2 linked regions of the Ovis aries genome follow. The protein of the gene in region 2 interacts with the protein of the main gene of each other region in a biochemical or structural test. Links are inferred from orthologs where the notes say so. Each region holds a gene or a part of one and is shown on either strand. Other genes may lie near its edges.

Region 1 (3,745 bases), on a different chromosome or scaffold from region 2:
AACAAGAAGAGGAGGCCTGAGGAAAGGCTTCCCCAGCCGGGACCTGGAACAGCTCAGCGCCTGTGCGTCCTTTGCATTTCTGTCCTGTAAGCTCTGCCAAGGAGTGAGGGAGGAGGCAGAGGACAGGCTGGAGGCGGGAGTTTCCTTTCAAAGAGTACCAGGGTCTGCCTTGCATCCTAAGGCGTTTTGGGAACAAGACAGTGAAGCAAAAAGCTGGTTGGAAGGCAGTTTGAGCCAGGTCTGTCCCCACCTCCAAGGGTTCTGGTCCTCACAGTCACTGGAGAATTAAGGAAGTGAAAACACTGCACTCAAGCAGGCTTTCTTGCAAAAAGAGTGCTGTGATGCAGGGCTGCAGATTTGGATGTAGCCCCCGTTCTTTTAGGGTTTCCCAGGTGGCACTAGTGGTAAAGAACCCGCCTGCCAATGCAGGAGACTTGGGAGACGTGAGATAGGTTCCCTGGGTCAGGAAGATCCGCTGGAGGAGGGCATGGCAACCCGCTCTAGTATTCTTGCCTAGAGAGTCCCATGGACAGAGGAGCCTGGTGGGCTACAGGCTATAGGGTCGCACGAGTAGGACACGACTGGAGCGACTTGGCACGCACACCCAGTCTTCTACCCGCTGACCCTGGCCTCAGGGTGCCCGCTTTGGAAACTGGAGTGGAGAGCAGGTGGGCCCGGCTCCAGGCGCTATGTCTGGGTTTCCTCGGCCTCTGCCCTCTGGTCGCCTTGAGAGACCAGGAAGCTGGCCCACATAGACCTCCCAGGGACATTAGGATGGGAAGGAGCCCCTTGCCCCAGAACTGGGTCCTGATGCTGAAGCAGCCAGGTCACAGCCTCCCCTGATAAGCAGACACACATGGCCTGCCCGGCCCAGGGTCCGTCACATTTCCCCGAGCTCATCTCTATCCCCCTTGCTGCAGCCAGAAGCCCCTGAGAAGAAGATGCAAGTGAACCATGCCTCCTAGGAGCCTGGTGATGCCTGGGGCTATTTTTACACCTTGTAAGTCTGGTCTGTGCCCCTGACAGCAGGAATTCTGAGGTTATTAAAAATCTGTCCAGAGGAACAGTGGGAAACCTTTGTAAGAGATGATTTCAGAGAAAATTGAGGGGAAAAAAACACACACACTCAAAGACTAGGCTTACTGAGTCCTGGGGAGATCTCCTCTCATCTCTCTAGTTTGTTGTTTCACAATCCACCTTTTGTGATCCAGGCTCAGGGGCCACTTTTTTCTGGAAAATCTCCTGGAACGGAAGCTTGGGGATAGTGAGATCTCTAAACTGTGAAGTGTGGTGGAAGCTGCAGGGGCAGGATTTGAAGGGGATCAACTGTGCCCCTGCTTCCCTGGTGGCACAGCAGTAAAGAACCTGTCTGCCAATGCAGGAGATGCAGGTTCAATCCCCGGGTTAGGATGATCCCCTGGAGAAGGAAATGGCGACCCACTCCAGTATTCTTGCCTGGGAAATCCCACGGGAAGAGCCTGGTGGGCTATAGTCTATGGGGATCACAAAGAGTCAGATACAACTTAGCGACAAAACAGCAACAGCTGGGCCCTTAGAGAGAGAACCTTGAACATGTTCCTTTAAGCTGAGATGTGGTCTTAATCCCAGGAGGCACCCAAGTGCATTTGAGAAGCACCATCATCCCAGGCAAACAGAACTGTCCCTTTGCAAGGAGGCACAGGGAGGGCAGGGGGACCATCAGACAGATGGCGACCTGCCCCAGTAGAAGTTGATTAGTGGTAGGAGTATGGCAGCAGTGGGTCAGGAGACCGTGTTTGGTTGGAGTCGGCTCCAAGCTGTTTTCTCAGCTCCTCTGCCAGGACCTGCACTTGGCTTGTCGGTGCCCTCGCATGCATTTGCTGAGTACCCGCTGTGTGTTCAGCATGGGATGGACCCAGCCTTGGGTACCCTCCCCAAGTCCCGCCAGGAACTCAAGCCCTTTCCCACCCCTTAGGAAAAATACATTGGCGGGGACAACCTCAAACATGCCCTGATCTGTTAGAAAACCTGCAGTTAATTGGTGCACTTCACACTTTGGTAGGAAACAGATTACTCAGAGTGCCTGCCAACAGATCACTGTGCCCGAGTTTCAGACAGCTGATAGAGAGCAGGAACTGGCAAACTTTCTCTAAAAGGCCAGAGAGTAAATATTTTAGGCTTCGCAGGCCACATCGTCTCTGTTGCAACTGTTCAGCTCTGCCTTTGTAGCCTGAAAGCAGCCGCGGATACCATGTAAATGAGCAGGCGTGGCCGTGTGCCAATAAAACTTTATTTCTGGACGCTCAGATTTGAATTTCATGTAATTTTCACTTGTCATGCGATGCTATTCTTTTTTTTCCCCCTTAACATTTTTTTTTCAGCCATATCAAAACATACAAACCCTTCTTAGCTCATGGGCTATATAAAAACAGGCAGCAGGCAGGATTTGGCCCCTGGGCTGCAGTTTGTGACTCCCTGACCCTTTCGATCTGAAGGGAACAGCTGGGCCCTTAGAGAGACCCCTGCCCTCCAGGCCACAATCGCCTCATTAATAATAAAATTAATGACAGCGAGCCCATGCTGTACACCGACTGGGCCTGGCGCTGTGCCAGGTGCTACCCGTGGGCCCAGGGAGGCTACCCAGTAGGGTCTGTGGCCCCCCAAAGCCCAGCCTCACCTGCCTGGGTTCTGTGCACCAGGCATGCCTGGCAGCCCCCGCCCCACAGACACAGCTGCCTGTGTCTCCCCCAGACCCCCACATGCTGGTTTCTGGGTGCGGGGAGTGCAGCACAGGGCTGGACTAACCCCCCAGGGGGCCCCCGGTACCCCCCACGAGCTGGTCGCTGGGTAGCAGAACCCAAGGCTGGGACAGCCATTGTAGGTGAAGCGAGTGCTTGGAAGGGCCGGTTTCTCTGGGGCTGTGGGTGACAGTGAGATGAGCTTCTGTTCTGAATACACTGCCGACACCCCCTTGTTGCTCCTGCAGGAACCTGCGCAAGGGGTCCAGCGGCCTGGCCGATGAGATCAACTTCGAGGACTTTCTGACCATCATGTCCTACTTCCGGCCCATCGACACCACCATGGACGAGGAGCAGGTGCAGCTGTGCCGGAAAGAGAAGCTGAGATGTGGGTGTCCCGGGGCCCCTCCCCAGGGCGCACCTGGCCGTTCGCATGTCCCCGAGGCCTGCTGTGCCCCTTCGGGGGGTGGGGAGGGTCAGGGAGCACCAGCTCTGGGCCTTGGGGAGGAGAATTTCACAGCACAGAGGGTGCTCCCTCTCCTAGGCTGTTCTGAGACAGCCTCCTTGTTGACACTCCTCAGCAACTGGTGATTTTCTGGAAATAGAAGGGTCTGTCGGTGATGGGAAATTGGTTTGGACAGACTTAGTTTAATCCAGCCCTTCCACTAAGCAGCTGTGTGACCTTGAACCTGACGGTGGGAACGCGGGCTGGACACGTGGCTGGTTCTGAGGCTGGAGGAGACCTCAGGGCTGCTCTTGTCCCTCGCCCCGGTCCATGGCCCGCCACCAGACTCGGCTTCCCAGGGCGGCCTCTGTGGGCCCATGGCCCACGCTCGGAGCCGCTCTGGCCCTGGGTCTGAGTGCAGGGCAGGCAGCGCCCACCCCTCCCCGTGCTCTTTCCCATGACCCCAGCATCCTTCTGCACCCCGCCCCCGAGGGAGCAGCGTCTGCAGGGAATGTAAACACGGGCCTGGGCTATACTTAGCTCGGGATGTGGACCGAGGGCTGCTGGGGGCAGGGGGATGGCG
Region 2 (4,515 bases):
AACTTCTAGGCTGACACCCATGTCATGGCACCACCTCTGCCAACTTCCCGGGGCCCCGGCACAGTTTTGGTGGGGACAAATCAGGCCAAACCTGGTCCCATTGGGACTGGAGTCAGGCCTGCACGGACCAACTCCTGGCTGTCCAGAGTAGGAGCTTAGTGGTCATGCTGTCGACCTACCAGAAATCACTGAGCCCCACGTGCGTGCACTAGTCCCCCCGACCCCCCCCCCATACCCTAACACAATGCCAGGTGCGGCTGGGAGGTGACGGGGTTGGAGAGAGGAGGAGGGCAATTTATAAATAGTGCCTGTGAGGCCTCTTCCTGGTCTCACACAGGCAAATGACACACCAGTCACTTCAGCTTCTTACAACAAATTAGGACACAGGGGCTTCAGGATTCAATGGATGGTCAAATTTAGAGATTCTTGCCGGTTTCACAGGTGGGCGAGACCTGCAGAAAAAAGCCCAGTTTGTTCAAGGTCATGTATTTGTCAGAATCAGTACACACGACTCCCCTTGCCCCGGCCTTGATTTTTTTTCCAGGCTGCCATCAGGGGATAGGTGCTGGTGGCCCAGCCCGATGTACAGGCCTGCCACTGTCACAGCACCGAAGCCCTGAATCAGGAAGCCAGCTCCTAGATCTGTCACGACAGAAGCACCCGAGCCCTCCTGCAGCATGTCCCGGAGCCTGCCTCATACCAGCCTGGCATCGCCCTCAGCTCCCGCGTGTCCTTGGGAGAGCTGCAAGGCTTCCTGCCAAAAATCACAAACTCTCCAAACCCAAACCAGCAGAGTCCCAGGCCCTCGTGCCTTCCACAGCTGGCTGGGGGCTAAAAAGGCAAAGGCGGATGTCAAAGCCCCCCAGGACACCACTTCCAGGGACTTCTGGGTCGGGCAGGCTCTGGGGAGCTCCAGCAGCATCTGGAACACCTATCACCTGGAGCATCTCCAGCATCTATCACCCAGCAGAACAGAGTGCCCAGACCTAGCGGGGAGACAGCCTCTGGAGGGGAACCACTTTTCTATTTCCTTCTTCCAAAAAGAACATTTCAAAGTCTCTTCATATCAGAACATTCTGAGCTTCTCCACCCGTCCCTCTCCCACCTGGCTGAGTAGCAGGCAGGCCACCATGACTGGCCCGGCTGGACAGCACTTTGAGACGCAGCAGGGTGCAACCTGGAGGTGAGCTTGACCATCCTCCACTCCCCCTCCCCCACCTCAAACCAGACTTCAGGAATTCCCAAGGCCCCCTGTCCCATAAACTGTATAAAGAATGGCATTCCCGGGCAGGAAACTGACTCAGGGGCTCCTGACCAGCCTGGGCAGGCAGAGCTGATGGATAACACTCCAGGGATGAAGGAAGGAAGGTGAGAATACAGTGATGCCTCATCTTCCACCACACCTGTAAGTCTCCAGCACACACGTTGCCCACTCTACTCAAACTCCTTAGGCAAACCAAGTAGAAAGATCCTCCATCCTGAAACAGCTTTCCATGAAGCATGTAATTACACTGGTGGCTGGTGACAGAGCAGACTGTGTCACTTGCTGAAGACACGCCTGTCTCACACACACACAGCTGGGCACCTGGCTCCAGAGGAGGCCGACCAGGCCTGGGAGCCTCGCTGAAGGTACCTAGGACCAGAAGCATCCTCCAGTCCTGCTCTCTCCCGTGAGCAATACCCCGCTCCCATGTGAGGAGGCCGCAGAGCTCAAGTTTGAGAAGCATCAAGATGGCCGGATGGAGGCCGCCTACTATACAGAACCAGTCCAGACCCTCATTCCTAGGCAGCTTCAAGTGGTAAGGATGGGAACAGGCTCCTCAGCTAGGTGACAGCGGAAGCATCGGGGGCTAGGTGGACTTACCTATCTTCATGAGGCAGGCCAGTAGGATCCAAAGGGCGATTTCGAAGGGTGTGCGCACGTGTTGGTAGTCGATGCCCAGGACTGGAAAGGCCTTTCGAGCCTTTGGGCTGTGTTCAGCGAAGGAATGGTTAACTGGGCGGCTCTCGGGGGCGAGCTCCGGTGGGGCGGTGGTGACATCCCCAATTGAACGTTCTCGGGGAGGCTCTGAGCCTCTGATGGTGCTGGCGGTAGGGCTGGGCTGGAGGCCATGGCTTCTGAGAACCGGCAGCAGCCCCACCAAGGCTACCACCACAAGCAACGACGGAAAGATTCGAGGCGGAGGGAGGCCACTGGCGCCAGACCACAGAAGCATCCCGCTGCTTACCCACCCCCCCGACCCTTAGCAAAATAAGAGTAAGACCTGGGACATAGGTAGCAAGGGGTCAGCAGGAGGGGGCAGGAGAGACTGCGAGAATCTCTAGGCAAAGTTCATGTTTGAGAGATGTGTTTTTGTGGAAGCAGTCCTCTGGAGGTGGAAAGAAGGCTGGGTTCCCGATCTAGAACGCCAAACTGGGGAAGAGGGACCAGGACCCAGTTAGGACCATAAGAGGAGACCAAAAGGTTTGGAACTCCAGGCCTGGGAAAGGGGGTGGGGGAGGGGAGAGGCAGCACCCTAGGGACAGAGGAAGGAACAGGATGGGGCCGCAGGCAAGGAAAAGGGAAGGCGGGGACCCTCTGCTGAGAAGAGTGGCTGAGCTGCTGGGACTCTTGCTAAGGGAAGGAGTAGAGAGCCTGAGCTAGAAGAAGGGGATCGAAGGGGGTGGGACCCAGTCCAGGAAAAGAAGAAAGGGAGCTGAGAGCCCAGGCTGCGAGGAAGGAGTGAAACCAGAGAGCGGCCGGGAGCTTCCCCACCCAAAGAAGGACCGGGGTGCAGGCGCGCCGGGCTGAGATTCCGGGGAAATGGAGGGAGGCGGAAGGCGGAGGCAGGCGGCCTGGAGAAAGGGCGCCTTGGCGTGGGCTGGGGGCGGCTCGCGGTGGGCCAGCAGCGAAATGCCCCTCCTTGCGGCCCCGGCGCCGTGCTGCGCTGCACCCTGGCCCAGCTTCAGTTCCTCCGCGTCCAGCTCCACTTCCAGTTGCAGCCCCAGCCCTGGCACCGGCGGCGGCTGACTGCTGTCTACTGAGCTCGGTACTGCCACTTATAGGCACCAGCGAGCAGCCGGCGCTGCGGGCTAGAAGGACCTGTCAGTGCCCGCGCGATGCAGCGACCCCTGTCGCCGAGGAAAGGAAGGATCGCGTCGAAAGAGAAGGGAAGAGTCAGAGATGGCCAAAGTCCAGCATCTAGAGATTCTAATTTTAAAAAGGGTAAAATGCTGTGCTAATGACAAAGCGCTGTTCACATCCACCTTCGCAGTCTCATGGAGACTTCCCAGGAAACGTGAATGATGTTTTATTGCCTTAGACATTTAGTTACCATGCGACCTTGAGCAAATTACTTAACCTCTGTTCCACAGCTATCTCATCTGAAAAAGTGGAGATAACAGGAGTACCTATACCTGCTGTAGCAAAGTATGTTGTGTTAGTGGCTCCAGTCGCGCCCGACTCTTTACAACCCCATGGACTGCAGCCCACCAGACTCCTCTGTCCATGGGATTTTCCAGGCAAGGATACTGTAGTCGGTTGCCATTTCCTTCTCCAGGGGATCTTCCCAACCTAGGGATCGAGCCCTGGTCTCCCACACTACAGACAGGGTCTTTATCGCCTGAGCTACCAAGGAAGCCAGTAGTAAAGTATAAGTGACGGCTAAATGAGATAATCTATGCAAAGTGTTTAGAATGGAGCCCAGGATGTGGAACCATGATGATGCTTCCAGCTTTGCAGATGAAGAAATAGGTCAAGAAATTTCCTTGGATAGTATCAAAATAGTTATGTTGAATTTCTAGGACCTCTGTAACAAAGTTCCACAAACTGAGTGGCTTAAAGAATAGAAATTTATTGTCTCATACACTGGAGGTTAGAGGTCTGAAGTCAAGGGGTCAGCAGAGGACTTCTGAGGGTTCTGAGGAAGAATCTCTTCCAGGTATCTCTCCTAGCTTCTGGTGGTTTGCAGCAATCTTTGGTGCTCCATTGTAACACCAGTCTTCACTTTGAGAGGGTAACAGGCAGGAAGGCCAGGGGTCTCTAAACAGAGGAAATAGTTTGTAAGTGTCAGACATTTTTATCTTTTTTAAGCAGCAGGAGGAAACAAACTAGTGATATTTAAAAAAAAAAATAATCTGCCCTTCTTCAAAATTCAAATTAATCATTTTATGGCCCCAAATAAGCCATTTGGTGCCAAAATTATCCCAAAATACATCTTATGAGTAAGGGGCCTGGTGCCATTCTAAGTTTTAAGACATTCCTTTCTTTCATTAACAGACTGCTAATAACTATATAATATCCAACTAAAGACTAGCAGAGGGGGTACTCTTTCTGCCCCCCTCTGATGCCTGTGTCAAAAACTTTATCTCCTTTATACTTTAATAAAACTTTATTACACAAAAGCTCTAAATGATCAAGCCTCGTCTCTGGCCCCAGATTAAATTCTTCTCCTCCAGGAGCCAAAAATCCCAGCGTTGTGATTCAACAGCAACCTTTCAACTTGGTGATCTCTCTGGGCCTCTGTCTCTGGGTCC

What was found.
Region 1: the proteins of SLC9A1 (region 2) and TESC form a complex in vitro, tested with the Homo sapiens proteins (4 studies listed by BioGRID and IntAct, with this or other methods). The link is inferred for Ovis aries from reciprocal best matches to the Homo sapiens genes SLC9A1 and TESC.

The regions. Positions count from the first base shown.
Region 1 is NC_056070.1:58,034,857-58,038,601, forward strand, and holds part of TESC (calcineurin B homologous protein 3), read left to right. Parts: intron 1-2,965; coding exon 2,966-3,105; intron 3,106-3,745. UniProt on the Homo sapiens protein: Functions as an integral cofactor in cell pH regulation by controlling plasma membrane-type Na(+)/H(+) exchange activity. Promotes the maturation, transport, cell surface stability and exchange activity of SLC9A1/NHE1 at the plasma membrane.
Region 2 is NC_056055.1:239,812,734-239,817,248, reverse strand, and holds the start of SLC9A1 (sodium/hydrogen exchanger 1), read right to left. Parts: upstream 3,016-4,515; 5' UTR 2,217-3,015; coding exon 1,865-2,216; intron 1-1,864. UniProt on the Homo sapiens protein: Electroneutral Na(+) /H(+) antiporter that extrudes Na(+) in exchange for external protons driven by the inward sodium ion chemical gradient, protecting cells from acidification that occurs from metabolism.